6 separate regions of the Mus musculus genome follow, and all the other regions are reported to be linked to region 1. The links are microRNA targets in miRTarBase. Many come from high-throughput screens and were not tested one by one. Region 1 holds a microRNA gene; each other region holds the end of a gene's coding sequence.

Region 1 (5,073 bases):
TGCCTGACCATTTCAAGTTAAATAGACAGAAGCCAGGACAGGGTGAAGTGGGTGAGGGACACCTGAGCCTGCCTAACCTGCTTCCTCACCCACAGTTTTCCAAAGACGTCTTGGTGAACATCTATTCGGCCTATATTGATAACTTCCTCAATGCAAAGGATGCTGTGCGTGTAGCTAAGGAGGCCAGGCCAGCCTTTCTCAAGTTCTTGGAGGTATGTGGACTGGGGTAGGGGTGAAGCTAACATGTCAGGCTAGCTCTGGGCATCCCAGGAGCTCTTGACCAAAAACATTGTGGTGCTTGCAAGTGTGTCAGCCTCTGCCTTTGGGCTCACCTGGAGGGACTTGGCTAGGAGCGTGTCTCTTCCTGCCGTGTCAGTCCTCATGTGAGAACTCCCTCCACTCTGCCTTCGGTTTCAGCAAAGCATGCGTGAGAACAAGGAAAAGCAGGCGCTGTCCGACCTCATGATCAAGCCTGTGCAGAGAATCCCACGCTATGAGCTTCTGGTGAAGGTAACCACGGGCCTGGCTGGACAGGGAGGCCCTGGGGGTCGGGGGGAGGAGTATGTCTGTTCTCAGACTCCAGGCAGGAAAGAAAGTCCTCCTTGATGCCTATACCATGGTCTCTCATGCTCCAGCAGTCAGTTCAATACCTCAGGGCAGCTAAACAGGTCTCCATTCCCGCCCCAGGACCTTCTGAAGCACACACCGGAAGACCATCCAGACCACCCACTGCTGCTCGATGCTCAGCGCAACATCAAGCAGGTGGCTGAGCGCATCAACAAGGGTGTGCGGAGCGCTGAGGAGGCCGAGCGGCATGCCCGCGTGCTTCAGGAGATCGAAGCCCACATCGAGGGCATGGAGGATGTACGTGCCCCACCCTGCCGTGCCCCAACTTGTCCCTGTCTGTGTCTTCATCTGTCACCCGGATTGTGGCCATCCACGTCCAGGTCTGTGGTCAGCTTGCTTCTGTGACCACAGTGCCCCACCCTTCTGTGTCCTCCTCCTCCTCCTCCTCTGTCTGACCTTGTGTCCCTGTCTGGCAGCCCAGTGATGCAAGCGAGGACAGGATGTCGCTCTGGCTGACCTCGTTCATAGAGTGGTCAACCGATCACTGCAGGGTTAATAGACTAATAACTAGTTCTCTCCTACCCACCAGCTCCAGGCCCCCCTGCGGCGGTTCCTGAGGCAGGAGATGGTTATTGAAGTGGTAAGGGTTCTCCCATTGGCTGTTCCCCCAAGTACCTTCAACCCACCCAAGTTCACTCTCTGGCGCCTGCTGCCCTCTGGTTCCTGCTCCCCAAGCACCACACAATGGGAGCCCTGCATGAATCCCGATTCCACATAAGTGGGGGAGAGCCCTCACCCCTCCCTTGGATTTGCTGTTCCTGGGGAACTAGGGTAATGTAGGTCGGCCTCTAGACTGTGCACACTGAGCCTGAATGCCACTTTGGACCCTACAGAAGGCAATTGGAGGCAAGAAGGACCGATCCCTCTTCCTGTTCACAGACCTCATTGTCTGTACCACCCTGAAACGAAAGTCGGGCTCGCTGAGGCGCAGCTCCATGAGCCTGTGAGTGGCCAGGGTGGGGCTGGGTGGTGCAGGCAGGAGAGCCATTGATCTATTGTGGGCTCTACTCCCTGCCCCAGCCAGAGCACCCCATTGGCTACCCACAGGTACACAGCAGCCAGCGTCATTGATACAGCCAGCAAATACAAGATGCTGTGGAAGCTGCCACTGGAAGACACAGACATCATCAAGGGTGAGGCTGGCTGAGTCTGTCAGGGGTTCTGCTGGTGGCTTTCCCCTGAGTCTGCCTGCCTGTCTGTTGGTTTGTCTGCTCTTGTGACTCATCTTTCATCCCATATGAGAGATTGGTTTTGAAGAACCGGGTTAGTTTCCATGCAAATCATCCTCTTAGTGCCCTAGCAAGTTCTCCAAGAGTTGGCCGTTCTGTGCCCTGTGACTCTAAACCAGACCTCTCCTCCCGGGCCTGTTTTTTTTTTCTGAGAGCTACCTGTTGACCTTGTTTCTGAGAGCTTGGGTCTGGAAGTGCTCCCATTTGCCAGACCAATCCCGTGCTCAGCTGAAGGCTGTGCGCTAAGGGAAGTGTGTCTGTCCAAGCTTGACCTTGTTTGATGTGTTCATGGCTTTCCTCTGTCCTCGCCAGGGGCGTCTCAAGCCACCAATCGGGAGACCATCCAAAAAGCCATCAGCCGCCTGGATGAGGACCTGGCCACCCTGGGCCAAATGAGCAAGCTCTCCGAGAGCCTCGGCTTCCCCCACCAGGTCTGTGCCCTGAGCTAAGGCAGTGTTGGCTGGGACTTCCCCTGACCTTGCCTGAGGGACAGACAGTCTTGGCTTTTGCCTGAGGGAGCAGTTGGTCCTGTCACTTATCTGAAGGGGAAAATTATAGTCTTGCTCCCACTTAAGGGAAGTGACAGGTCCGGGGTCTGAGGGAGGAGACCTCTGAGGGGGAGAAAGGCCCATCCCTGTCTGTGGCAGGAGGAGGCTGCCTTCCACGGTCCCCTCGGTGCAGGTGCCCATGTGGTGACACCTTGGCCTGAGGCCTGGGTTCTTTTCCCACAGAGTCTAGACGATGCACTGAGGGATCTCTCGGCCGCCATGCACCGGGACCTGTCAGAAAAGCAGGCGCTATGCTGCTCCCTGGCCTTCCCGCCCACCAAGCTGGAGCTGTGCGCCACCCGGCCCGAGGGCACCGACTCCTACATCTTTGAGTTTCCCCACCCGGATGCCCGCCTGGGCTTTGAGCAGGCCTTTGATGAGGCCAAGAGGAAGCTGGGTGAGCCAGAGTTCATGTTGGTGTCTTCTCTCACAGTCCCTGTGCAGTCCTGACTGTAGAAGCCAGGACTCTCTGAACTGCCCTCCTGTCCTCCAGCGGCCGATAGGGAAGGTGGCCTGAGACTTCCACAGTGAAGCAGCAGGCTGGACATTTGCTCTGGCTCCCAGCTTCTTCCTGGGGGGGAAGGAACTCCTGGACAGAGTCGTTTGGGGACAGGGACCCCAGCATACGCCTGAACCACCAAGACCTTCCTCTTCCTCAGTATAGACTCAGCTAAGTCCTGGAAAGTTATTATTAAGTCTACAGCTTAGAGATCCAGGGCTACTCATTGTACAGAAAGGAAAACTGAGGCCAGACACAAACGGAGTAATCCATGACCTCTCATTCTAGCTGAGCTGGTACCCGGCCCTCCCTAGGGAGACTGGAATGGGGAGGGACCAGAGCCACTGTAAGGTGGGTGCTAAGCAGGGGTTCTCTCCTTTTGCCCTGTCTCCTCTACTACAGCATCCAGTAAAAGCTGTCTAGACCCTGAGTTCCTGAAGGCCATCCCTATCATGAAGACTCGCAGTGGCATGCAGGTGTGTGTGTGCGTGTGGGCCATGTAGACACGTGTCTACTCAAAGCTACATACATGTGTATGAGGTTTTGTGCTGTGTACCATCTCACATATGTATTTTAAACATTGTGATTATTCCCCGTGTTTGAGTATATACACATGCACATTACATGTGTAATGTGTATGGCATGTGCATATGTGCACAGGCTGTAGATTTGAAGTCTAGTTCATACACCTATATGAGTTTTAATATCTAACCAGTAGTACCAGAGTCACATATTAATTAAACGCATACACTCATGGTCCTATTGGGAGTACATGTATGTGTACATACAGGTTTGGGCGACTTTTCTATCGGGCATGGTGCATTTGACTGATGTGTAGCATGGTACAGAGATGGATGCAAACCTGCCGCCCCTCTGTTCTGCCGGGGTCGGTCCTGACAGGATTCTGTCATTCATCTTTCCCTGTCCACTGGGGTTTCCCACAGTTTTCGTGTGCTGCCCCCACCTTCAGCAGCTGCCCAGAGCCGGCGCCAGAGGTCTGGGTGTGCAACAGTGATGGCTACGTAGGTCAGGTGTGCCTGCTAAGCTTGAGGGCGGAACCAGATGTGGAGGCCTGCATCGCTGTTTGTTCTGCCCGCATTCTCTGTATCGGAGCGGTGCCAGGCCTGCAACCACGCTGCCCGCGGTAAGGCTCTGGTGGCGAACCTACAATGCCACTAGCCTTTGGCCCAGTACATTGAATGTTGACCCGGTGGCGTTGGGCGGGGCTGGGAGGTGGGCTGTCCGTGGGCGGGGTCGGACGGGGTGCTCTCTCGGGCGCCTCCTAGTGGCATCCCTTGTTCTTTTTCCCTTTGTCTCTAGAGAGCAGCCAGAGCCCTTGAGAAACCCCCCAGAGACCACACTGGAATCCACTGGGCCAGAGCTAGATGTTGAGGCCACAGCTGAGGAGGAGGCAGCGACGACGCTGGCTGAGCCAGGGCCTCAGCCTTGCCTGCACATTTCCATCTCAGGATCGGGCCTGGAGATGGAGCCAGGCCCTGCTAAGGGTGACCCCCAGCCCGAGTTGGTGCCCTTTGACAGCGACTCTGACGACGAATCTTCACCCAGCCCCTCCGGGACTCTACAGAGCCAAGCCAGCCAATCTACCATTTCCTCCAGCTTTGGAAGTGAGTGTGGGGTGGGGATTGAGAGGACAGCAAGTGAGGGGACACCAGAGGAGGCAAAGGCTGGAGTCGGTTCACTAGGTGTTAGCTTCTACCAAGTGGGGGATGGGAATATGAAGACTCAGACACATCGGAGTCCTGGGGACCTTCGAGTACAGTTAAGGAAGATGGGTATTGGGTAGAGTGGCTAGTCCCTCCATCTAGATGTGGCTGGACTTAAGACAGCCAGGCAAGGACTGGGAACCTGTAGTGAGTGCTGAGAGTGAGCAGGGGAAAGGCCTTAGCAGATACGGGGACCAGGGGTAGGAGCGATGTGTCCAGGAGGGACACTGAGGCCTAGAAAGATGTCGGATCTCTGCCCGGTGGAGGGGAATAGGGACAGAGATCTTTGTCCCTTCAGATGAAGAGACCCCAAGCTCCAAGGAAGCCACTGCAGAGACGACCAGCTCTGAGGAAGAGCAAGAGCCTGGCTTCCTGTCACTCTCTGGCTCCTTTGGGCCAGGTGGTCCCTGTGGCACCAGCCCGATGGATGGAAGAGCCCTTCGCCG
Region 2 (5,073 bases), not on the chromosome of region 1:
CTTAAGTTGCCTTTGTAGGGTATCTTGACGCCGTAATGAGGAAAGTGACTAAACTGCAGCAATCACGCCTGAGCTGACAGACAGGCTTCCAGTTGAAAAACATTTTTTCTATTTTCCCTGTGTTCAAAGAAAACTGCTTGGTAATTGTAAGAAACCTAAGAACATCTTTCCCTGTGCTCTGTGGTCTCCATTAACTTTCCCCTCCCTCCCTCCCTCCATACCTACTCTTAAGCATCCCTAGTAAAATCTCTTCACAAAGAACCCCCTCCATCCACCTCTCTGTGGCCTGCTGGGTGGCTTTGGGTACATTTCTTACCCTCTCTGTTTAAACTTATAGGAGAATTATCTTTTTGACTTTAGAAATATTGTAGGAATGGGGAGTTAACTGATAATACTCAACAGAACCCAAGTATGGCCACCAACCTTGAAATAATTACTCTCTAAAATAAGAACTGTCCTTACCCTTAACAATCTATAGCTTGAAGTTCATGGTGTTATCTGTGTTACTTTTTAAAAATAAGAAAGAGAGAGAGAGAGAGAGAGAGAGAGAGAGAGAGAGAGAGAGAGAGGAAGGAAGGAAGGAAGGAAGGAAGGAAGGAAGGAAGGAAGGAAGGAAAAAAGAGAAGAAAGAAAAGGAAGGAAAGGAAGGGAAGGGAAGAGAGAGACAAAATCTGCATGCAATGAAGACTCTAAACTCAAACTTCTAGTTGGCCAGAAACTGATGGGAGAATGGAACCAGCCCAAGCACTGCCCTCTCCTGGCTGTGGATATTGTGCACTGTGTCTTGCCTTCTCCCTGCAGACAGGCTCTCAGCCTCCAGGTTGTAGGGGATGCTGGTGGATTCTAGCAGCCTGTTCTCCTGAAAACTGCCCCCATCTGGAGAGTTGCCCTGGTCAAGGTTCCCTATTCCCCCTTCTATGGCTCCAACATGGATGGTTGTACCGCCCATATCCATTGGGACTTCTCTGAAAGATCGTACGTACCACAGTGCCCCTAAAGATGTCTCTCTACTAAACTCCAGGTGATGCTTTCCCCTGCCCCCTTTGGACCTCGTGCTTCTTCAACTATGATTATGAGAATCCTCCCACAATAAACCATCAGCTTGCAACCCTTCATTCTAGAATCTGTTATCCCAAGAACTCAGCCTAAGACATCTGTCTGCTACCTGCTCTCAGTCTAACAACATGAGTTACACTGTCCAAGGGAAAGCCAGGTCCTTACTCCTTTGTATAGATCCATTCGGTGATCTATGCCTCATCAGAATGAAAAGACAAGAGCTTTGCTGTCTACATGTGGCATTATCCTTTATGGAACTTCTGTCTCTCCTCTATCATATCAGCTACAATGGTTGGTCCTCAAACTCAACACATAGGCTCTGCCTGGAGACTTTCGCATTTGCCCTTCTCCAGTTTGGGTATGCTCTTTGTCAGACCATCTTCCTACCTCCATCCCTCACTCCTTGTAGCCTTCTAGACTCAACTGTCACCTCCTCCATGAGAACCCTATACTTAAGCCTGCAGGTCTCCACTGACATCTAGACCCCACACCCTTTCCTTACCCTGGCTTTCTCCTCGGCAGTACCAGGGTCTGGAACACTGTGTTTTCCCATATCCATGTTGCTCAGTGCCCATCTTTACTACCAAAACCTAAGTTCCCTGAAACTAAGCTGTCTTCCCAGAGGCCACTGAGAGTAACTGGTACATAGCAGCAGCTGGCTCCGCATTGATTGCAGGAGCAATCAAAGAATCTGTGTTGGATTGCAAGGCCTGAAACCTTCAGGGCATCACTTAAAGGTGTCTCATTTACTTTAGCCTTGGCAGTCCTGGAACTCACTCTGTAGACCAGGCTGGCCTCAAACTCACAGTGAGTTTCCTGCTTCAGCCTCCTAAGTGCTGGGATCAAAAGCATTCACCACCACCACCACGCTTCTAATGTTTTATTTTTGTTGTATGTGCATTAGTGTTTTGTTTGTATGTATGTCTGTGTGAGGACGTCGGACCCCCTGGAATTGGAATTCCAGATAGTTGTGAGCTGCTCTGTGGGTGCAAGGAGTCAAACCTGAATCCTCTGGAAGAGCATCCTGTGCTTTAACCACTGGGCTATCTCTCCAGCCCCTGACTTTCTCACGAAAGCCATTGTCCTATTATCTTGGTGAAGTTTGTGCAGGGCCACATTTGTGGAAGCATCAGATAATACAACTACTAAATAAATGTGAGGTATAATTTTTGATTACACTGAATCCTTCATCAGTGAGCTAATTTTTTTTAATTATGCGCAAGCCACCAGATTATTTTTAAAGCAGGAATGTGACATTCAAACACAGAAAATCCTGAAGATGTTCAGATATGTAAATGAAATATAGAAAACTTTATTCCAAAGCTACACCCAAAATGTACAGTGAAATGCATCTCCTTACAGACTTAATAAAAAAGGGCCATATCTACATTTTAGATTTTACAACAATCTGCAGATCTTCTGCTCCCACCAAAAGTCTGATAAAAAAGTTAATCCCATTAATTAAAATTTTAAATGACTGTCTTTATATAAAGTATATTCTAATTGCAAAATATTCAAATACGGTTTCAGTATGAAAGTGTCCTCAGTTTCTGGAATCCTCGGTAGTCTGTGAACACATAGGTCCCTGTGCAGCTTGAAATGAGGTAAAAGGAAGGTTTTCCAGACACAGTCTCAGATGTTTGTCCTCGATGTCCGGGGCAACATGATCCTTCCACTCCCTCCCCTTCCTGTGGGACAGCCCCTTCTTCCCCTGCCTACCTAATATCCTGCACCCGGAACAGCAGCAAACCTGTCATTTAACAATTCCTCATGTTACAATGTTTTCCAAAGAATTTTTTTGACCCAAAGGGAAGTCCTGCCTATAGAGGGCCACTATTTCCTTGAAAGGTATTTTAATAAATAAAGTCTACAACTCTTTTAACAATTCCTGAAAGGAAAAGAGAGCAAACCTCCGAGGAGCTGTTAGTCACCAATATTTTATTTTGTAGGTCGCTTCTCTAAAATTTAAAAAATGAAGTCCTTGGCTGCGATTTGCTAAGTGCATTGTAAAAAAATTAAAAGTAGCTTCTAAATGAGATGCCGCAGATGTTAATAAGACACAAGCATCACACTGTACAATAGAACAAACCCATGGTTTCTGACTGTTGAGCTATGTGCTTAGCAGTAAGAAACAAAGGCAGTCCAGGGGAAGCCTGCTGCTGGGCATCCTGTTTGCTCAGTGCCACTTTCTTGGGGCTTTTGTTTTGATTGGATAATTCACAGGTCTACCGTGTTTTTAATGGCCTTATTTTAAAAATCAAAAAACAAATAAACAGGGAAAGTGTCTTCTCTTCATGTGGCTACTTGGCAGTGTTTTACAGAGACTAGGGTTACTTCCATTCTGCCAGAGGTAGATACACACAGCCGTGTGTGCTCACAAACACTGGCCTGATGGAAACTAAGACTTCATGCCAAGTCAGCATGAAGGGTCTTCACGGCTGAAGCGTCAGTGGAGATGGTACTACAGAATGTTCTGACAGGCTCTTATCAACACTGCCATTACATTTGGGGAGAACATGATTGAAATGAGATATAGAAACAAAATTAATAAATACAACAGCATGATCTTTGTCAGGCTCTTGATGCACGGAATCTGGAGTTGACTAATTACTGGTCTATAACGTAGTCCTATAGTTTGGTCCTGAGAATCACAGACTTAGACGTGTGTGTGTGTGTGTGTGTGTGTGTGTGTGTGTGTGTGTGGTGTTGCTAGGGATTAAACCCAGAGGCCCATACATGCAAGGCCAGCATTCTACACTAAGCCATGTGCCCAGACCCTACAACCATATTTATGAACATACAATGGCAAATAACAACAGTTCTGAGTTTATCCAAATAGATGAGTTTATCCAAATAGATGAAGCCATGACACTCTGGAATCAAGATCACATTACAGTTAACAAACACATATATCAAGTCTGAAGCCACCGATGTTGACAACTTTGCATCCCCACAGGAGAGCTCTGCCACACCAATGGGCATCTGCCCACCTTTGAACTATAAAAGTAACCTTTTTCAGTGCAAAAATACCTTTGATAAATAGCAAAGACACAATAAACACATGGAAGACTTAGCATCTCCTGGAGGTGTGCTTTCATATACAAAAAGTAACTCTGTAGACAGGCATGGTGGGGCACACCTGTAAGGTGAGCACTCAGTTGGCTCAGGCAAGAGGATCACTAGTTCAAGGTCAGCCTGAGCTATATTCAGAAGTAAAACGTCATGTTTCCTCTTACAGTAGGATATGACAGGCTGTTCTGCTCCTCTGATTGTGAGTCTATGGCTGTGAGAGGGTGTCAACACTCTTGGAAACAACCTCAACACTTCTATAGCTCATCATGTTTCTTCTTAAATGGCCACTGTGGGTGCTGCAGTACATGCTCTGCAGCCTGAAGGACAAGGTACATGAATTCTTCTACATCAAAAGAGTAGTTGGTAAACTTCGGGTGTTCTCCCAGAGTTGGATGGTGACCCTGCAGAAACAAACCAGAACAAAATCCCGGAGTCACCGAAGGGTGTGTCTTTCTATAGACGTAAAATCATTTTCCTTTGGCTAACGCAACTGTTTCAACTTATGCCGTACAACATGGGCTGGCAAGCTTTTCCCACAGAGCTCCCAATGATAGTTTCAGCTCTGCCAACCATCTGCTCTCAGTCATAGATGCCCTGCCAAGGAGATGCATAATCAAGCCCAGACAATATGCAGGCAAATGTGGCGGTACCCAATAAAACTTTATTTACAAAAACAATTCGTAGGCCAGATCTGTACCATTAGAGCTACTGTTTGCTGATGGCTGCTGTATGTAAACTGATGTAAGCTGTTTTAACAACATTGAGATTTTTCTCTAACTTGCAAATAAAAAATATTAGTATTCAAGAGACGAACAGAGGCTCAGTGATGGCTTGCATTTTAATAACTGGACTCCAAACCATTTGGTGAATGTTACCTTATCCTGAGGAAATACTTTGCTGGGCTTCCGCCAGGTGATGTAGTGGATGCCTCTGAGCCTGGCCAGG
Region 3 (5,073 bases), not on the chromosome of region 1:
GGAATCCATTCTGTCCTCCTGACCCACTTCCCAAAGTTCCCATTCCCAAATACCTTCAACCTTGAGGACTTAGTTTCTAGTACCTGAGTTCCAGGGGACACTCAAGTCATAGCACTTAGTGGTGAGTGGTGGCACCTGGCATCTGACCCTGCAAGGGTGGTTGGGCAGTATGTGCTGCAAGCAGTAATTAGAGATCTGCTTCTGGTGTCTTCAGGTGCCTGTTGGTATAGTGTGACATTAAACCCTGGGAGGTGAAGGGTCTCTTTACAAGAGAACACTTTATGTAACACTGGCTTTCCCTGGAGAAAAAGACGGTTCCAACATTGACTGAATCTCTGTCCTTTCCCAGGGCTGTGGCTAGGGTGCTTAGTCAGTGTTTTTAGGAGGGGCTGAGCAAAGGAATAGTAACATGGATTATTAGAAGTTTCTTTTTTTCTTTTTTTCCAGAGTCACTTATTTCTGCAATTCAAGGTGATATTGAAGAAGCTAAAAAGCAACTGGATTTACCCGAACATTTGAAACTCAAAGATGATAATTTCTTCCAAGTTTCTAAAGGCAAAATTATGAATGGCCACTAATGAAAAGTCCCTTACCTGCCTACCACTAGTGTCACGCATAGTGTCACAGTGCTTCTGATACACTCTCATCTTGATCATATTTTAAATCAAGCGTTTTCCTGTAGCTGTCAAGTGGTCTCCAGCAGTTCACTCCATCATGTTGCACAGTACTAAGAGACTCATTCAGAAATCAAGACTTTAGATGTAATATGTTGATTAAAATGTAGCACTAGAAAGCTTGTACTGAAAATAAAGTCTGTGAGTGTGGGTGGAAAAGCAAGTTCCTGAGGAAAATGAGGACTGACCATAGTTCTTGTGACTGAGTGTGCTGGCACTGGTGAGCCCAGCCAGCCTGTGCTGAACAGAGGCTTTTCAGGAAGTGCACCACACACACACACACACACACACACACACACAGAGCTTACCCATGAAGGAAAAATTAGAGTTACTTTTCTCATTTTGTGCATTGATATATTTTTACAATCCTGCAAACTTCCTTGAGTCACTCACGACTCCCCCTGAGGTCACTTCCTGGTAGTGTCCCAATGCTCTGTGTGCAGTTACTTCAGGTTGAAGTTGCCTTGATCGCCTGCCCCTCATCAGGGCTTTTGCTTTTCTTCAAAGTACTGAGGATCCAACCCAGTGCCTTACACGCCAGGCAAGTGTGACCACTGAGCTAGGCTCCCGCCCCCTTTACTTTTTGAAGCCATACAATGGATGTCTATATGTTGCCTTTTTGAAGATTAGGTGGTTTTGCTCTTTAACATTTTTGTGACTTTGGTTTATTTTCTTCCCATGTCGCCCAGAGATTACTTGTGTGTGTGCCATTCTGCTCAAAACTAAATGGTGGTCAGGTTCAAGTAAAGAAAAATAAAACAAGCTGCATTTATAGACTTGCTTGGAATTGAAATGAACATAGCCAGTTCCTACCCAACCCTGCCCTGCCTTTTTTTTTTTTTTTAAAGTGTGGTCCTGTGCTTTCAAAGTAAGTACAGTTCTCTATGACCAGGCACTTAAACATAATTTAAAAGTCCTTGTAGCTTCAGAACCGGATAAGTTCCAGTTGCATATCTCTATATCTCCTGGTTTCCCTCTTGGTTTTCCCCTGGTTCCTCCCCTTTCCCTCTTGGTGGCCTGAGTTGTTTATGTTGGCAGAAGGTTGACATTGGATGCTCGATTGCTTCAGCCTCACCGGGGCATTGAATCATCATTTGTTGAATGGCAACAGGTTTGCTGGGGCAGAGGCACTGCCTAAGTGGGAGCATGCACGTGAAAATAGAAAGGTAATTTAACAACACACAGACACCCAGAGACTTGGTCTCTGCATGTGTGTAGAAGTAGTGGTGTGGGGAGGGATGGGACTCACTCAGCCCTGTGAATGTGTTCTATGGCTGAGCAACATCCCTAGCCTTCAGAATAGAATTTTTGATGTTGGAAATCCTGTATTTAAAGGAAACCTTAATTATCAATGGATTTATGAAGGAAAGTTAAAAACAAATATGCACAGTACAAAATAGATCTGTGGCTTTTTTTTTTTAAAGTAAGAATAGCTTGTTAGTATATCAATGTTCATGGCTAATGTTATCTCATTTTGTTAGTCGTTATTTTGGAATTACATGATGTGTGATTTAGGGCTTAGTTAATTCTCTAGAATTCAAAAACTATTATTGATGTATTAAAAGAAATTACGGTACCACGTTGATTAGTCTGAATGTTTGCAGGCATTGGAATAAAATTTGACTTATTTTTTCCCTCTTCCCCTGTCAACCTGAATCCTGTATCTGTTTGGGGTATACTGGCTGTTTGTTACTATACACCTGTATTTACAATCCTGAGTAGACCTATCAAGTAAGGGTGCTCATGTGACTAAGAGCTTTATTTTCAAGGACCCTCCCCCTCCCAGTCCCCCCATCTCAGGGGTCTTTCCTCCTTTTAAAAGACCTTACAAGGTCTCTATATCTGGCTATCCTTGAAAGTACAGAGATCCATGTGTGTCTTCCTTCTGAATGCTGGGATTAAAAGTGTGCATCAAGCCTGGCCAAGACACACACACCACCACCACCACCACCCACCCACCCTTTAAAATTCCTGTAGCAAGGTGACTTTACATGGAAAGGATTCAGAGGATATCATTACTCAAAAAGTCAACTCTTTAAGAATAAAGGTTCCTATTGGGAGCTAAAGGAGCCAGACAAGTCTAACTCCTGTATAATCCTCAAGATTGTTTTGTAACCATGGATGTGCCACAACCCCACACATTGCTGCAGGGCATTCTTTCCATTTGTTACAAAGAAGTGCATTTCAGCACTCATCTGAATGAACTCTGAGATGACTTAGCAGCTTGCAGGTAGGGCACTTAGGTGATGGGGAGGTGTGAGAACCAGTGACTTGAAACTTACAAGGACCATCTTCCTTTCCCAGTGCTGTTGTCTTCCAGTTCCCCCTTGTACTTGGGACAGAAGTGAGACTGATAGAGAAAAATCAGTTTCATTGTTAGAGACTGAGCTAGAAAACAAATCAGATCTGCCAAAGAGGATGTGATCATAAGTCAGAAACACTGGATGGAGAGTTTTCTACAGACAGCAGAGAGTGAGTTCTTGAAAGGACTGCATTCCTGAGAGTTACATGTCTCTGTAACTCCATGGAAGTTACAGAGACAAAGTTCAGAGCTGAGATGGAAGGAAGGACCATCCAGAGACTGACCCACATGGGGATCTATCCCATATACAACCACCAAACTCCGACACTATTGCATATGGCAACAAGATTTTGCTGACAGGAACCTGACATAGCTCTCTTGTGAGGCTATGCCAGTGACTGGCAAATACAGAAGTGGATGCTCTCAGTCATCTATTGGATGGAGCACAGGGTCCCTAATGAAGGAGCTCGAGAAAGTAGCCAAGGAGCTAATGGGGTCTGCAACCCTATAAGAGGAACAACAATATGAACTAATCAGTATCCCCCAGAGCTGTGTCTCTAGTTGCATGTGTAGCAGAGGATGGCCTAGTCGGCCATCAATGGGAGGAGAGGCCCTTGGTCTTGCGAAGATCATATGTCCCAGTACAGGGAATGCCATGGCCAGGAAGCAGGAGTGGGTGGATTGGGGAGCAGGGCGCGGGAGGGTATAGGGGACTTTCGGGATAACATTTGAAATGTAAATGAAGAAAATATCTAATAAAAAAAGAAATCCCATAAGCATAAAGTATTAAACCATAATATATAAATAAAGCATGTGTTTTGAAAGAAAGAAAGAGATAGAGAAAGAAAAAGAAAGAAGGAAAGAAAAGAAAGAAAGAAAGAAAGAAAGAAAGAAAGAAAGAAAGAAAGAAAGAAAGAAAGAAGAGAAAGAAAGAACTGAATGTATAGAGAAATGAGCGTGGCCACGCTATGTAAAGGCTGTGGAAAACCAGGTATGGTAGCATGCTCCTGGGGCTCTAGCGTTAGTGAGGCTGAAGCAAGAGCACTTCAGCACTGAAGTCTGAGGAGACCAGCCTGCCTCAGCACAGTAAGATTATCTTTAAATAGAGGAAGAGGGGCTGATCTAGGTATGTAGTTAAGGGGTAGTGGCTATACTTAGTATGTGTGAGGCCCTGGTTGCAATCCCCAGCACCAAACCCAAAATAAGAACAAAGTCACCAGCGTATAGTGTTCAGAAAGCTGGGAACCAGGATGAACCTTCGAGTTGGCTTTCTGTCCATTGCTTTGCTTTGGTTTTTGACACAGCAATTCGTTATGTGTGTAGTCTAGGCCCTTTGGGAATTCACTGATGTCATTGTGCCTTGGCCTCCCAAGTGTTGGGATTATGAGTGCTCTGTCATGCCTGGCTGGCAGTAAATACTATCATGCTACTGCTCAAACCTCAAGTCACATGCGTGCTAGGCAAGCAGTCTGAACAGCTCCACCCCAACCTCTTGAACCCTTATTACTTGTTTCTGGCAAGAACATTTAGTATATCTTAGCATGAGGTCTAATTTGTGTATAGCCCTTGCTGACCTTGAATTCAGAGATCCACCTGCCTCTGCTTCCCAAATTCTAGGATTAAAGGTGTGTCCCACCATACTCAGCTTAGCTTGGTTGGCTTGTTTCCTGTTTTGTTTGTTTGTTTTTTATTTTGTGTTCATTTGTATGTGTGTATGTTGTGTGTGTGTGTGTGTACACCATGGTGTGTCAGAGGATAACCTTGGGAGTTCTCGTCTTATCAAGTGGTTCCTGGGATTGAATGCAAATTGTCAAGCTTGGCAGCAGTTGCCTTTGTAACACTTGACCATCTTGCTCGCCTGGGTAGTAACTTTTAAGAAACAGGGCCTTGAGTTTAAACTGCTACCTAAAACTCCCCAAGTGCTGGGATTGCAGGTGCGTGGCCCTGTGCGGCTGAACTGTGAAAACTTCTACCTGGGTTTCATTAGGCAGCTTGCTTCTTCCTCTGCAGGCCACATCTCCCATTTTTATACCAACAGCTTTATTTTCTCCATTTTATGTGCATGAGTGTTTGTCTGCATGTATGTCTGTAAGCCAC
Region 4 (5,073 bases), not on the chromosome of region 1:
GTGAAGTAAAAATAAATAGTTTCCTTTATACAATTTATGTAGGTGATGGTTGCAGACATTTAGCACTGTACCCAATAGACATCAGAACTGATAGTGCTGGGAGTTGCTTTGTGATAACCACACTTGTGGTGTGCATCTGGAAGGGTGTTTTTTTGGGGGGAGCAGGAATCATGGTGGGGGAATCACACTTTATTAGAAGTCTCTAGCACATTTTCTGGTAATACTCTGATAACTATCATATATCAAAAAGATAAACCAATGAAGATGAACCTACTCACTGTGGAGAGGGTCTAGTTGGACAAGGTAGTGTGCAGTGGGATTTGTCAGGAGGCACAGTTACAGGCACCATGCTGCCTGACTGCTATAACATTATCATTTGAAATATTTTTACATTTCCATTCTCTATAGAGCTAATAGGAAATAACAATAAAATTTTCCTTTTGAAGTCAACCATAGTTGTCAGTTGTTTGTATTTCTAACTCTACACACACACACACACACACACACACACACACACACACATTTATTTATTCTTGGGCCAGCATGGTGGTACACTCCATTAATCTCAGCATCCAGAAGGCAGAGGAGCTCTATCAGTTCAAAGCTAACCTGGTCTACACAGTAGACCAGTACAGCCTGGGTTATGTAGAGCCCCTGTCTCAAGAAAAAAACAACCTGCTGGGCCTGTAAACAACAATGGGAAGGGGTGAAGAGGCACACTAGGCTGTATGCAGCCTTTGCTCTCAGCTTCTGAGGCGACAGGGTGTAACAGATAGCTAGTGAAACCTTTTCTTTTTTAATTTTACTTTTTTTCAGGGGGGTTGTCTGAGGGTATTTCTAGAAAAGATTGGACACTGAGTCAGTAAATGAAGACTTATCCTTGTCAATGTTAGCAGGTCCTAACCAATCCATCAAGGGGCCGCCTCAAAAATGTGGGAAAGGCCAGTTTGTTCTTTCCTTGAGCTGACCCATCTTGGAATGTCATAGTTTATGGTTCCCAGACTCCGGGACTTGCACAGGAGTCCCTGTCCAGTCTCTTGGCTCTGAATTCCTTGAACTGACTATGCACCACTGACAAGTTAGCCTTTAAGTCTGGTCTGGATTACGCTGCTGTCCTGAGTCTCCAGGTTAAAGACAGCATGCTATGTTTTCTCCCAGTCCTTGTAATAGTGTGACCCAATCCATATGGCAAATTGTTATTATTTTAAGTGTGTAATTTTTAGTTATGTGAATACAGGTGCATGCTAAAGCCAGAGATATCTGACCCCTTAGTGCTGGCATTTGCAGGCAGTTGTGGGCTGCCCAACATGAGTGCTGGGAAAAAAACTTCATGCCATTGGTCACTGAGCCATGCTCCAGCCCCTGGTAAACTAACTTCCTCTCCTCTCTGTCTCTCTGTCTCTCAGAACTTACCATTTATTTATTTATTTTATGTATGTGAGTATACTGTTGCTCTCTTCAGACACACCAGAAGAGGGCATCAGATTCCATTACAGATGGTTGTGAGCCACCATGTGGTTGCTAGGAATTGAACTCATGACCACTGGAAGAGCAGCTAATGCTCTTAACCCCTGAGCCATCTCTTCAGCCCACTCTCTTTTGTTTCTATGTGTCCTATTGGGCTTGTTTCCCTGGGGAACTTTAATACATTGATTGAGCAAGAATCTTAATTATATGGCAAATTTAGATTTTCTGCAGTAAGAGTCTTACATAACAGAATGCACTGACCCTGTTCCTTAGACGTTATCCTGTTCTAGTGTTTTTGTGTTTTTTGTTCCCTCCCCCTCTCTTTTACACTTTTTCTTTTTTTTTGGAGATCTTTTCCTATTGCCTTTAGTTCTTGCTAGACAGAAGCATTGCTAGGAGGTAGAGACCACAGAGCTAAACAGGCAATTGGCCTGGTAGATACAATTCCCAGTATTCCTAATAGATTTCTTTAAAAGGAAGGTGAAAAGGTACTGGTGGGCTGCCTCAGTAGGCAGGGGTGCCTGCTGCTAAGCCGGACAGCCTGAGTTTGAACCCTGGAATCTACCTGGTGGAAGAAAGCCAGCTTTTGCACTGTCCTCTGACATCACACATGTTTTGTGGCATGCATGCATGCGCACGTGCGCGCGCGCACACATACACACACAAATGCAAACAGATAAAACGAAAGGAAAGTAAAAAAGATCTTTAAAAGAAATACACTCAGTGATGCTCTCAGACTGCAGACATCTCCCACTAAGGTGCAAAAGATAAAACTAACTGGCCCAACGGGAAAGTGTGCCTGATGACCTGAGCTCGAGTCCCAGAACCTACGTGGTGGAAGGAGAGAACCGGACCCCACTAATCATCCTCCAACCGTGACAGACACACCTTAGCATGATCTCACCCATTCAAACACATACACTAATAAATAAATGAATTAAGAAAACAACATGCACCCCCCCCAAAAGTAAAATGTACCCTTTTCCCGAACCTAGTTGGTGTTTTAATCTGGACTCTGGGATACAGTGTCTCCTACTTCCAATTCTATGTGACAATCGAGGTGAACTCAACCTTAACATTAAAAGTAAACATTTATTTATTTTTGTGTGTGGGTAGTCCTGTGCATTTCATTGTGGTGTGTGTGTGTGTGTGTGTGTGTGTGTGTGTGTGTGTAAGTCACAGTACAACGTTGAGGAGTTGGTTCTCTCCTTTATTTATCACATGGATCTCAGGGATTGAACTCACATAGTCAGGCTTGCTTCACAAAAGGAGCCCTTTTCTGCTGAGCCATCTTGCTGGCCCTGCAAAATCAATCTTGATACAGGCCTTGGGATGTAAGCCAGGACTGCCATTCGTTTCAGCTGTGAACATGGACGTGCAGAGCTATACTCTGTGATTTCACAGAGCCTGAGGCAGGCTGAGACGGGAAGCTTCCCTTCACTGGAAACGTCAGATGCTTTAGACTTCGCTCCCACTGGAATCTGGCCGAGACAAGCAGGCATCTCCAGCATGAATTTGGAAGTGAGGCCATGGGACCCATTTTTGGGGTTTTGAAAGGTAAGTGTGACCAGAGGTGGCTGGATCCAGATTTAAAATACACAACCATTAGCTGAGTTCACATAAACAAAAATCAGTATTTCAGCCTTTATCTTTTCAGTATCCAAACTGAATACTGGAATGTTTAGAGGTCCAAAACTTTGGCCCTCAGAGCTTTGGGAGAAGTCTTAAAAAGCACCAGTCTTGGAAGCAGGGGAGCTAGGCCTTCACTCTTGGACTTGCTTCTTATTTACTTAGTGACACTGTACAGCTAATTCCATGTTCTACCCCTCAGTTCCTATGTGTTCCACAGAGGTAGGGTTTGGTGAGACTAAACTGAGATGAATGTAAAAATAGAAGTGCTTATTATGAATACAACCAGGAACACAGGCCCTGTATAATAAATAGATGGAACTGAAGCAATATAATGCTCTCCAATGACCTCCTGGATCACTTAAGTACAGACATTTGCTGAAATAAGTAAGTCAGTGTGTGCCTTTTAAGAAACAAGTAGGTTATTGTATTTTTACTTAGGCGCGCATGTGTGTGTGTGTGTGTACTCATACCATGGCAGACAAGCGGAGGTCAGAGGACAACCTGCCAGTCAGTTTCTCCTTCCACCATGCTGGCCCTGTGGATTGAGCTCCAGCTATTCAGCTTGGCAGCAGGTACCTTGAGCCCGAGCCACCTTGCTAGCACAAGTCAAGTCATTCCAATACATGAGGATAAACATCATCACATCATCATCACATGAGCTGCAAGAATGAACCTCTCTTTATGAACTGCAAATACCCACTGGATTCAGGATTGCAGCATAGGACCTGTCTGCACAACACAGACAAAGTGCACCTGCACAGTAAATACTGCACAAGCAAGCACACGCCATGGCTCAGTAATTGTTCACGTTTTCGGGAATACTTCAGACCAAAAAACTGTGTGTCATTGAACTGGAGTGGAAGAGCTGTGCCTGCCTCAGGGATTGGAACGTTGCTCAATTGACAGCAGTCATCAAATGCAGCTGATCATCACACTCAATTGAATTTGGACAGGCTAAAATCTGTGGGAGGAAAGCTGCCTTGACTTGAGTGCAGTGACTGGCTGACCTTGCTACAGAATCCCCACCAACTTCTTCACCTCCTCGAACACAGGAGAGGCCAATTCTTTGGCTTTTGCAGATCCAACAAGTAAAACCTTTCTTAAGTGGTCCTTATCCATTTTCAATTTCTCAATCTCCTTCCTGATTGGAGCAAATTTCTCAATCACAGCATCGGCCACTAGCAGCTTGTAGCGTGCAGTGTCCAAGCCTGCGCTACTGCGCACCACCTCCTCCACCGAGAGGCCCGACACGGCCGCGTGGATCGCCACCATGTTGGAAACACCAGCTCTGCTGTCCGGCTCGTAGGTGACCTCTGACGTGAAGTCTGTCACAGCCTTGCGGAATTTCTGTACAATCTCCTCTGGGCTGTCTGTTATTCGAACAGTGGCGAGTTTGTCAGGGTCCGATTTTGACATCTTGGAAGAAGGGTCTCGAAGAGATTTCACTTTCTTCATGGATGCTAGTGAAAACAAGGCAAGTCACCGAGAACGTTACAGTCTAGTCCTGGAAGACACCAACCCCGCCAGAGATACTGATTGCACAATAGCATGTCTTCATCTGGAAGAATTTGTGCAATTTATCAAACATGGAAGTAAAGACATCAGAAACAGGACTTGCTAATGTGCCATCCATAGCATGTATTGGCAATGATTCATCCAGTGTATGACTGACACAAAAGAAACGATGTCGGTTATACTGCCTATGCTATGCACACTTGAGGGGTACAAAGTTGCAGCTCAGGTCACAAGCCTTGCAAAGCAAGTGCCTTTATTCTCTGCCATCTCTCTGGCTCTGTGCACACTTGATTTTTAATTTTTGTGTGTGTAAATATATGCTTGTGTCATGGCAAGTTTGTGGCTAGAGAACAGCTTTAGGGAACTGGTTTTGAGGTAGGGGATCTCTTGTTCTTCCTGCCACTGTGCGGCTGGCCATGCTCCCGTGTCCACCTCCTCCCTTGCTGTAGCAGTGCTGCA
Region 5 (5,061 bases), not on the chromosome of region 1:
AAGCGTGTGTGTTTGTGTGCGTCGGCCTGACTATCTTTAGCTTGGCCAGTTGAACTCAGTCCAACAACTGACACCCAGGAACCAGAGATTTTAAAACTGGATCCAGTTCTGGTGGTGTCTTCGACACCATTGACCTCAGTGCAGTAAGGCAGCCAGGCCATGCCCACTGTCCTCTCAGGTGACATGCCAAGCAAACTGGCCTTGTTGGGCCCCTGGTTGCCTCAGTCCCTGGATTCTTGGCCACTTCCCTGAGCTTGCTTTGTCTACCCCCTTCTAGTGCTATGAGCTGTCCACTATTCTGCTAAATTCCTCTTCTGTGCATGCAGTCACGAATGCAGTTAGTCCAAGTCCAAGCGCTCATTTGGTAAGAGTCTGACAGTTTGTCCCTGAGTGAATGGATAAGAGATTTTCTAGTGTGGGTGTGCATGGCGGGCGGTGTGCACGCCTTTAATCTGAACACTCTGGAGGCAGAGGCAGGCGAGTTTGAGTCCAGTCTACAGAATAAGTTTCAGATCAGCCAGGGCTGGGCTATTATCGTACAGGGAAACCCTGTCTCCAAAAACAAACAAACAAACAAAAAAGTAAGAAGAAAAGAAAAGTAGTTTGTAGCTCTTGCATATTATCAGAAGGAACACTACAGAGTTTCCATTTTGAGAATTAACCCCATCTGACATTGAGATTCCTGATAGGTTATCTCCGACGATGAAATGAGCCAGCTCATGCCAAGTTAAAGTATAAAGGCAGGTTTATTGGAGGCAGCTCTTAGGCAGGTTCACCAGTCCCAAGAAATGAGACCAGGGAGGTCACCGTGCAGACAAGGAGACAGAGCGGAGGGGGGAAGAGAAATGCAGAGGGGGCTGGGGGTACAGGATGCCCAGACCAAAACAAAATGTCTGGATTATATAGTGAAGAACCTCTGAGGAGAAGCCCAGCCTCTGGGCTGCAGAGTTCAAGTAGGGACTGAGGGATGCTGGGAGAACCTGGAGGCCAGGTCTGCTTTGGTAAAATACCAAAACCTCAGCCTCTTGTCCTGGGTCTGAAACCCAGTACCTCAAGGCTGTGCTTGAACACTAGGCATTTGTAGACCTCATTTATTTTCCCGCTTATTTCATTCTTACAAAGGCCATGTGAGCTGGGCGTGGTAGCACATGGCTTTAATTCCAGCACTCTGTGGGCACAAGCAGGCTCATCTCTGTGAGTTCCAGGAGAGCTAGGGCTACATAGAGACCTGCCCCACCCTCCGAAAGGGTCCCATGACTGCACAGGACACATTGGCATAATTTCCCCCTCCCCTCCCCGCCCCCCCCCCCCACTCCCGGTCCACTTTCCAGGGTTCACTATATAGCTCTGTAGCTCTCCTGCCCCACAACTGGCTCTGTAGACCAGAGATCGAAGACATTGTCACCACAACTGGCCTGGTATGGGTTCTCAAGAGGATTATATCCCTACAGCGAGTGTGTAGGTGACAGTGACTGCCTTTGTGTCCCCACTTCTCCATGCTCAGGTTTGTCCCAGGCATTCCCCACACCTTCTTTCTTAACTTAATCGAACTGGCACACTCACTGTAACCCTACTTGTGTTCCTCTGGTGGCATTAAAAGATTGCTTCCAGCCGGGCATGGTGGTGCACGCCTTTAATTCCAGCACTTGGGAGGCAGAGGCAGGTGGATTTTTGAGTTCGAGGCCAGCCTGGTCTACAAAGTGAGTTCCAGGACAGCCAGGGCTATACAGAGAAACCCTGTCTGGAAAAACCAAAAAAAAAAAAAAAAAAAAAGATTGCTTCCCTGTCTTTGCTTACTGCAGTATGAATTAGCAGGAAGGGGGTTCGTTGTGTTTCTGTTTTTTGTTTTTTAACCTGCCCTCTCACTCCACTTGATGTGGCTGGCAGTCTCAAGAGTGGGCCCTGGGCCTTCATAGTCTTTAAATGTGGCTAATGTTTTAACAGACTTGGTCACTGAGCCACTTGCTTTGGGACACGGGAAGACCCAAAGGAAGAAATGTTCCAGTTTTGTGCTCAGAGACTCTTAATATCACCCTGCCATGTGACACTAACCTTGGGAAGATGGGGACAAACATGTACTCACTCCAATCAGGAACCAATGACGGATCAAAATAAGCACACCACCCGAGTCCAGTATAGCAGACTGATGAGTTTTATTGGGGTTACAGACAGAAGTATGGGTGAGGGGTTACCGCAGGATCACAAATGACTCGAAAGACAGCGGCACCATGAAAGCTCACCATGTCACAAAAGCTGTAAACTTGAAGCCCTCTGTACAACTTGCAGACAGCTCAACAGGTTAGAGAATGTCTGTTTCAGGCAGCTCAACTTGTCTGAGAGTGCCTCTCAGCAGTCTTCACAGCTAATATACTTGGAAAAGAGGGGGCCTAGTCTGTCTGGTGGGTTTCAGGGAGTCCCTGAACCCTTTGAGTTGAATGGATGTCCTTTTAGAACATCCTGTGTTCCTGGGGAAGAGGTGTTACTGGATCATAGGAAACTAACTCACTCTCTGTCTCTCTCTCTCTCTTCTGGAGAGATGGTTCTAGATCTTGAAGTAGAGAAAAGACTGTGTTTGAGCATGCTAACGACAACCCAGTCAAAATGGAGGATGTTAACATTTGCTGTGAGAATGCCCAGGGTTACAGACTGGCAGCTATGCCTTACTTCTGGGAATCTGAACTCAAGTCCTCATGCTTGGGTAACAAACACTTCACCTTTTGAGCCATTTCCTCAGCCCCTGATTTTGGTTTTGTTCTGAAAACAGAACAAAACAAAACAAAACAGAGCTCACTGCCTAGCCCTGGCTAGAGGATCTCTGAATTCAAGGCTGGGATTAAAGGCCCACACCACAACTAGCTGGCATGTCATTCCTCGCCTCCTTACCCACTGGTGTTTGGCTTTCTATGGTCTAGCTCAGAGCAATATTTACCTCAGGAAGTAAAAAATAAAGTGTAAGTATGTTCAGAGTGTTGAAATGGGCTGGCGAGATGGCTCAGAGGGTAAGAGGATGGACTGCTCTTCCAAAGATCCTGAGTTCAAGTCCCCGCAACTACATGGTGACTCAACTACCGGTAATGAGATCTGACACTCTTCTAGTGTGTCTGAAGTCAGCTACAGTGTACTTACGTATAATAATTATAATAATAAATAAATCTTTGGGCCGGAGTTAGCAGGGACTGAGAACAGGGTTGACTGGAGTGAGTGGAGATTCTATCCCCAACAACCACATGAAGGCTCACAATCTTTTCTTTCTTTTTTTTTTTTTTTTTGGTTTTCCGAGACAGGGTTGAAAGCTCACAATCTTAACATCCATCTTAATATCCCATTAAAATCAAAATATAAGCCGGGCATGGTGGTGCATGCCTTTAATCCCAGCCCTCGGGAGGCAGAGGCAGGCGGATTTCTGAGTTCGAGGCCAGCCTGGTCTACAGAGTGAGTTCCAGGACAGCCAGGGCTACACAGAGAAACCCTGTCTCAAAAAGAAAAAAAATTATAATGAATAAGTATATTTAAAAGTCAAAGTTTAAAAATCAAGCTAGAGACTAGAGAGATGGCTTATCAGTTAAGAGCACTGACTGCTTTTCCAGAGGTTCTGAGTTCAATTCCCAGCAACCACATGGTGGCTCACAACCATCTGTAATGGGATCTGATGCCCTTTCTGATGTGTCTGAAGACAGCTACAGTGTGTGTGTATGTATGTGTGTGTGTGTAAATTCTTTTTAAAAATCCAAGCCAGAAATTGTGGTTCACACCTCATACCTCAGCACTGGGAAGTGGAGACAGGAGGATTGCCATGAGTGTGAGGTCAGTCTTACACAGTGAGTGCTAGGCCAGGCAGTCTTGACAAAATAAAATCGGAATTATTTGGTTAATATTTAGCCATTCACTCATTCCTTCATTTATTTTAAAGCGTATTTTGTGTGCATATGTGTGTGCCTGCGTGTATGTATGCACCACTCATATGCAGGAGCCTTTGGAGGTAAGCAGATGCTTCCAATTCCCTGAAACTGCAGGTATGAAGTTGTGACTCATCATGTGGGTCCTGGGAGCCAATCTAGGTCCTCTGTCCTAATCGCTCTTAAGCACTGAGCTCTCTCCAGCCCCCTAGTCACTCATTTAAAGATGGGCTGTTACATAGCCCAGGCTGGCCTTGAACTCAATCCTCCTACTTCAGTTACTGGGCTTTGGGATCACAACACTACACCAACCTTATCATCTGGCTTTAAATAACATTATTTTAGATCAACTTATTGCCTTTTTAAGATAAGAGTTTCTCTGTAGCCCTGGCTGTCCTGGAACTCTCTCTGTAGACCAGGCTGTCCTCAAAATGCGCAGAGATCCACCTGCTTCTGCCCCCGGAGTGCTGTGATTAAAGGTGTGCCCCACCACCTTCCAGCCCTTGTCTTTGTCTCATTCCCTGCCCTTTCTCTCTCTAGGGCAGATAAATCTCTGTGCTGAGAATTTGGTCTTGGGGGTCCTGAGCCGACTTCAGGGTCCTACCCTAGCTCCAGCTTCCAGCTTCTTTGTTCCCTGTTCCCCTTGTTAGGAGTCTGCTTTTGGTACCCTCCAATGTCCAATCCTACTATTTTTTTTGTTGCCCGCCGCTAATCTGTTTATTGCGATTCCTGGTCTTGGTACTTTTTAAGTGGAGCAGTAGAGATGGTTCTTGAAGTACTGGAGTGCAACCTTGAATTGGATCACAGAATTGGTGTTGGCCCGGTATTTGTCATAAGTCTTCTCCAAGGCAGCCAGCTTTGGATCCTTTGGTGGTGTTCTTACTTGGTGGTTTATAATTACACCCGGGCAAGAGCCCACCAACAGTCTCCCCAGCCCATCAATAAAGAACTCTGCAAAGAGAAGAGGAACGGGAGACAAAAGGAAGCTAAAGACAGACAGCTGTGGTTCCCCACCCACGCCGGACAGGGAGCCCTGGAGCTGAAAGGAAAGAAACAGATAACCTCAGTTTCTCAGATTGGAGAGTGGGCGTCAAGTCCGCTGGGTTCCACTAAATGGGACTGTGGGTTCTGGAGAGGAAGGGGTGAAGGGAGAGGGCAGTCCCTA
Region 6 (5,073 bases), not on the chromosome of region 1:
TAACCCTGTGCTGCCCCCTCAGACCATGCTGTTTACAACCTGTATGCTGTGTCCAATCACTCCGGAACCACCATGGGAGGCCACTATACAGCCTACTGCCGAAGTCCGGTTACAGGCGAATGGCACACTTTCAATGATTCCAGGTGAGAGATGGAATTCCAGCAGGGTTCCGTGACAGCAGTCATCTCATATGGCTTCCATCTTGAATGGACAGAACCATCATACCACGTGTATGCTGCCCTCTCTGGGACTGTCAGAGATAGATAGGTATGGTGGCTCACTAATCAAATACCTGAGAGGTGAAGGCAGGAAGGTCAGGATTTCAAGGTCATCTGCAGCCACTTAGTGAGTTCGAAGTCAGCCTTGGTTATGTGAGACCCTGTCTCAAAAAATGGGTTGGCACTGAAGAAGTGGCTCAGCAGTTAAGGGTTCCCACTGCGGTTGCAGAGAACAGGGGCTCGTTGCCATCGGCCACCATGGACGTACATAAGCACATACACATGGTATTTAAAAATAATGGGAATCTTAACAACACACCTCTCAAAGGACAAGAGGCAGAAGTTACCTTGGCATAGAGAAGTTAGAGGCATTGGCTCAAGCTCAGCCTCTCTGCTGTGTCCCCCATGGCCTTCCTCAACAGGCTCTGACTTTTCCCTGATCTTTCCACAGTGTCACACCCATGTCCTCCAGCCAAGTGCGCACCAGCGACGCCTATTTGCTCTTCTATGAACTGGCCAGTCCACCCTCCCGTATGTAGCATTGAGGAGCTGCGGCCCTTCCCTCTTCCCTGTGGTGGCCCCACGTCCTAAGTTTTTTTTAAAAAATTCAGAAAAAAAAAAAAAAAAACACCACAAAAAAAAAAAAACAAAAAACAAAAAAACCAACAAAATCCTGACAAGTGAGAGAAAAATAAAGTAAAATAAAGCTGCCGAGCAGAAGTTGATACAGCCTGGTCAGGGTCTGGAGTGAGGAGCCATGTGCCCCTGCGCCACGCATGCACACGCACGGCCTGGCAGGAAGACGGACTGATGCGGAGACAGTCAGCAGCATCCTCGGCTCCTCGGCTGGCTTCTCTCGTTTGCATTTTTAAGCTTGTGGTTTTTTTCCTGTGTGTAATAAAAACAAGAGCGGTCTGTGGGAGAGGACCGTCAGCCCACCTGCTGCCCCCAGTGCCACACCTGCTGGGAGGACAGCGCCATCTGGAGCCTGCTGGGAGCATCGCTGCTGGATGGAGCTAGGGAGGAGCCTGCGGGAGGCCGTCCTGCCTGGACCTGCTCACCAGTCCAGAGAGGAAACGCCCATGAGCCAAGAGCCCTCTTAACGCTGCTAAGTCCAGGGGTACAGATGAGGGTGACATCTTTGAAAAAAAAAAAGCTGGTTTGGGTTCTCAAAAACCCAATTTTTTTTTTTTAATTAACTGTAACGAACGTGTTCCGACTGGAGATGTGGTCCTTCACACCTCTCTTCACAGCTGGGACATTGGGCTGGCTCCCTGTTTTCTTTTTTTTTTTGTTGTTCGGTTTTTTCTTTTGTTTTTTTCTTCTCCAAACACAGCCTTCCTAATGCTAGTCCCCGTGTGCTGGGTGAGTGTTGGCTGGGCCCAAGCATCGTCACAGTAGACCTGGGATCTAAAGTTACTCTGCTTTGAAGTTGCTTTTTCTTTTCCCCTTTAATATTTTGAATGGAATCTAGTTGCCTCCAAGAATTGTGCCTTATAGCATTTGGGGACCAGGGGATAACTTCCCCTTCCTGAGATATCTCCCTCAGCTGCTTCCCTTTATCCCCGTGCCATGTTGAAAGCCACTTGGGGTTGCGGGGTCCTGCCCTGAACCCCTGGCTTGTTGTGCACAGCAGTAAAAGAGGGAAGTGGGTAAATGGTGATTCTTAAGATAGTGTATCAAGCTCTTCCTACCACCCTCTCACCCACCCCGGTCTCCCCAGCTGTTTGAAGGACAGCACAGGCTCCTTGCCCCTCAACTCCCCCCTCCCTTTAATTTATTCTCTTTTTGATGCCCTTATCCCCCAAGCTTCCTGCCACCTGTCCCTTTCCCAGAGTCTCTTAGACAAAGGCCCTCTGGACTGAGCTTCTCAGGGACACCCACACCACCCCTTACCCCATCTTGGCATCAGTCTTTGGTCCTGTCCTGGGAGTGTGAGCCTGGATGGCTGGGGTTAGCTTGTATGATTCTTTGCCCTGACGTTAGACAAAAAAAAAAAAAAAAATACTCCATGCTGTCCCAAGAGCCAAGCTATTCAGCACTAAGGCATTTCGCACAGTGCATTTTGCACCCCCCACAGGTGGGCCTGGCTTATGCCCTCAGAACCTCGAGTGCTTGAGTGTCCCAGGACAGGGCACCCAAGAAAAGACACCCTGAGTTTACCTGGCCTGATACCCTTCTCTAGGGAAGACCTGTGAACATGAGCCCAAGGGCTGGTGTACACTTGTTTACTATGTAAGCAAGAGTAGAATGTCTAGTGTACAGTGGAGCCTTGTACAGAATAAATAGTAGCTTTGAGAAGGAAGCTGGTGTGACGGTCTTGATTTGGGAGGGGCTTGTATCCGGGATGCTCCCAGCAAAGTGAGGACCACACAGTTCACTGCTTTTGCCATAAGTGCTGCATCCTAGCTTACCCACTTGTTAAACTTCTCAATTATTTTTTGTTCCTTAAATAGTACATATTTCAGATGCCATATGCCACATCTGGATTCGCAGGTTGCGTTTGTCCACGTGTTTTATTCTTTTAGCCAAGATGTTTAGAGATGAGGCACATCACACTTCCAAAGACCCCAGCAGCATCTTCCAGACAGAACCTGCCAAGGGCACAGTGTGAACACCTGGGGAAACGGACACATCTGGTGGTACCCGGGCCATCAGTGGGGAAACGGACACAGCTGGTGGTACCCGGGCCATCAGTGGGGAAACGGACACAGCTGGTGGTTTCTCTGCCTAGCTGGCTGTAGCACTGTAGGCATTGGAACAGCAAAGTCTTCTCTAACCATCTTCTGTTGTGGCACAAATACCTGTGTCACTTGGGGCCTGTGTGTGCTCCTGGTTGGCCAACCTCACGAAGGAAGACAGCTTTCTAACCTGGGAATTTCATGGGAGTGAAAAAGTAAGATAACTTTTATTATTCTAGACAAGATCTCATATAGTACAGGTGGCCCTCAAGCTGACTAAGGCCTCGGATGAGCTTCTGTAGGGACTGAGACTCCATTTTAGTTGGTACTTGGGATTGAACCCAGGGCCTCTGGTATGCTAGGCTGGAGCTCCACCCAGCAAACCACACTTGTAGCATAAGAAGAAAGATTTAAACAAACCTCGTGACTCCTCTCTGAGGGACTTGGACTCCCCCTCCCCACCCTGCCCCCATACACCCTAGGAATGGCAGGACCATGGATGAGCTATCTCAAAGCTGGTGGCTTCTCCCAGGCAGACACATATAAACAAGACTCTCTCCTAAATAGAAACTGGGTCGCTGCCAACTTAAAGGTGCCTCGTCTTTTCAGTGATGGTAGAAGCCACCCTGTGCATTCCGTTCTCCAGAGGACAGACTAAGGAATTAGGGACTGGAGTCAAGCCTTTGCCCTTGCTAGCAGCTTTCCGTTCTCTGCCTAGCCTGTGGCGCCATCTCATCCCCATGGTAACAGTCCCTAGCACTGCACCAAACCCCAAACACAAGCAGGTCTGTCGCAGGCAGGCGTTTCTTTGTGATCTGTCGCCTCCTAGCAACTTGGATTATTCCGCCTGTTCTTAGCTGGTGTTCCTGCAGGCCTGCAGGCCCTCACTGAGAGAAGGTGCTGCCTTTGCAGTTGACCTTGAACAAGAGCTCCCTCTGGGTAGGCCTTCAAGGCCTCGTTTAAACCAAAGGGCTCTCTCTGCTCACGTCCTCCAAACACACATTTGAATTGGGACTTACACACCCATACTTCCCTGGCCCAGTTTATAGTTTGTTTTGTTGGTTTTCTACATTTATTCTAGGACAGCATGTGGACACCATGACATACATACATATGGAACTTTTGAGAGTCAATTCTCTCTTTCCTCCATTTTCAGGAATGAAATTCAAGTCATGGGTTTTATAGCAAGTTCCCTTACCAAAGCAGTAGCAATCGCACCAGCTAGAGAGATGGCTCAATGGTTTACAACACTGACTGCTCTTCCTGAGGTCCTGAGTTCAATTCCCAGTACCCACATAGACCTTACAACTCTCTGTAACTCCAAGATCTGACACCCTCACACAGACATGCAGGCAGAACACCGATGCACATAAAAAATAAAATTAAAAATGCAGGGACAGACCTTGTGCTGGGGATTTGGTACCGTGCTAGCTATCTTTCCAGCCTCAGAATTAAGTAACCCAATTCATATTTTTTGAATGTTTAGACTTGAGCCTTTAGAAGCCGCCTCATCCCTACTGTCTTATTGACAGTGAGGGTTCGAGACCTGTCAAAGGCCGCACCACCTGGCCATGCCTGAGACAGGACAGATCTCACCTAGTTCTTGCTCCATCTGGTTGAAACAATTCTGGTTGAATTGGTGACAGCATTTGGCAGGACTCTTGGCAGAATTCTCCTACTCCATTAGGACGCAAACTGAACAGCCATGTAATATGCAACATGCACACGTGCCCAGCAACAAAGCCAGCATGAGCTAGCTGTTTGAGCTAGGTCTGTTTGAGCTGGACACTTCCAAGGGTCCCCACCCTTCAACATTCATGAATACAACAACTCTGTGTCAGTTGCAGAGGGCAGGAGGAAGTGGGCAGCAACCATAGCCCTCTCTGTGCCCAGTATCCTCATCTCTAAGCTGATGGTGAGAACACCAACTCATCATGAGGCCTACATGAGAAAAAGTGTGGCACACAGTGACCAAATACCTAACAAGAAAGAAGTTATGGCTAGAGAGGCGCACAGTGGATGCCTAAAAGCATGCACTACACAAATGGACTTGAGTTCAGTCCCCACAGTGGAGAGATCTGGTTTCTGGAAGTTGACCTGTGACTTTCACACTCACACCTGCATGTCCACTCATACACAGAGACGCATACATCTTTTATTAGATAATATCACTA

What was found. Region 1 holds the annotated microRNA mmu-miR-3102-5p (GUGAGUGGCCAGGGUGGGGCUG, at 1,571-1,592, shown strand). A microRNA usually pairs through its seed, bases 2 to 8, with sites in the 3' UTR of a target mRNA and lowers its output. Matches are read on the target gene's strand: a 7mer-m8 pairs with bases 2 to 8, a 7mer-A1 pairs with bases 2 to 7 and ends in A, and an 8mer does both.
Region 2: the mRNA of Eogt is a reported target of mmu-miR-3102-5p. The part of its 3' UTR that is shown has no 7-base or 8-base seed match.
Region 3: miRTarBase lists Rfk as a target of mmu-miR-3102-5p. The part of its 3' UTR that is shown has no 7-base or 8-base seed match.
Region 4: miRTarBase lists Wars2 as a target of mmu-miR-3102-5p. Seed matches in the 3' UTR shown: 7mer-A1 at 4,085-4,091.
Region 5: miRTarBase lists B4galnt2 as a target of mmu-miR-3102-5p. Seed matches in the 3' UTR shown: 7mer-m8 at 3,199-3,205.
Region 6: the mRNA of Usp2 is a reported target of mmu-miR-3102-5p. The part of its 3' UTR that is shown has no 7-base or 8-base seed match.

The regions. Positions count from the first base shown.
Region 1 is chr7:100,878,907-100,883,979 of GRCm38, reverse strand. It overlaps Mir3102 (microRNA 3102), which reads left to right and starts at 1,571; the gene lies at 1,571-1,674. Arhgef17 (Rho guanine nucleotide exchange factor (GEF) 17) reads left to right here. Exons shown (of 21, transcript NM_001081116.1): 4 at 96-212; 5 at 418-510; 6 at 688-864; 7 at 1,157-1,207; 8 at 1,461-1,570; 9 at 1,675-1,760; 10 at 2,169-2,287; 11 at 2,588-2,801; 12 at 3,306-3,379; 13 at 3,848-4,047; 14 at 4,224-4,528; 15 at 4,926-5,073.
Region 2 is chr6:97,107,678-97,112,750 of GRCm38, forward strand. Eogt (EGF domain-specific O-linked N-acetylglucosamine (GlcNAc) transferase) reads right to left here. Exons shown (of 18, transcript NM_175313.5): 17 at 5,004-5,073; 18 at 2,347-4,529. The coding sequence ends at 4,383. Among named protein-coding and RNA genes, the nearest start is that of Eogt, 39 kb to the right of the region's middle.
Region 3 is chr19:17,399,026-17,404,098 of GRCm38, forward strand. Rfk (riboflavin kinase) reads left to right here. Exons shown (of 4, transcript NM_019437.3): 4 at 448-2,324. The coding sequence ends at 578. Among named protein-coding and RNA genes, the nearest start is that of Rfk, 7.5 kb to the left of the region's middle.
Region 4 is chr3:99,215,945-99,221,017 of GRCm38, reverse strand. Wars2 (tryptophanyl tRNA synthetase 2 (mitochondrial)) reads right to left here. Exons shown (of 6, transcript NM_027462.4): 6 at 815-4,559. The coding sequence ends at 4,111. Among named protein-coding and RNA genes, the nearest start is that of Gm38468, 18 kb to the left of the region's middle.
Region 5 is chr11:95,861,430-95,866,490 of GRCm38, forward strand. It overlaps B4galnt2 (beta-1,4-N-acetyl-galactosaminyl transferase 2), which reads right to left. Exons shown (of 11, transcript NM_008081.3): 11 at 2,130-4,847. The coding sequence ends at 4,642. Among named protein-coding and RNA genes, the nearest start is that of n-TQttg6, 4.7 kb to the left of the region's middle.
Region 6 is chr9:44,093,105-44,098,177 of GRCm38, forward strand. It overlaps Usp2 (ubiquitin specific peptidase 2), which reads left to right. Exons shown (of 13, transcript NM_198092.2): 12 at 23-143; 13 at 670-2,523. The coding sequence ends at 757. Gm38444 (a long non-coding RNA gene) reads right to left here. Exons shown (of 2, transcript XR_379336.2): 2 at 2,708-3,089. Among named protein-coding and RNA genes, the nearest start is that of Gm38444, 3.5 kb to the right of the region's middle.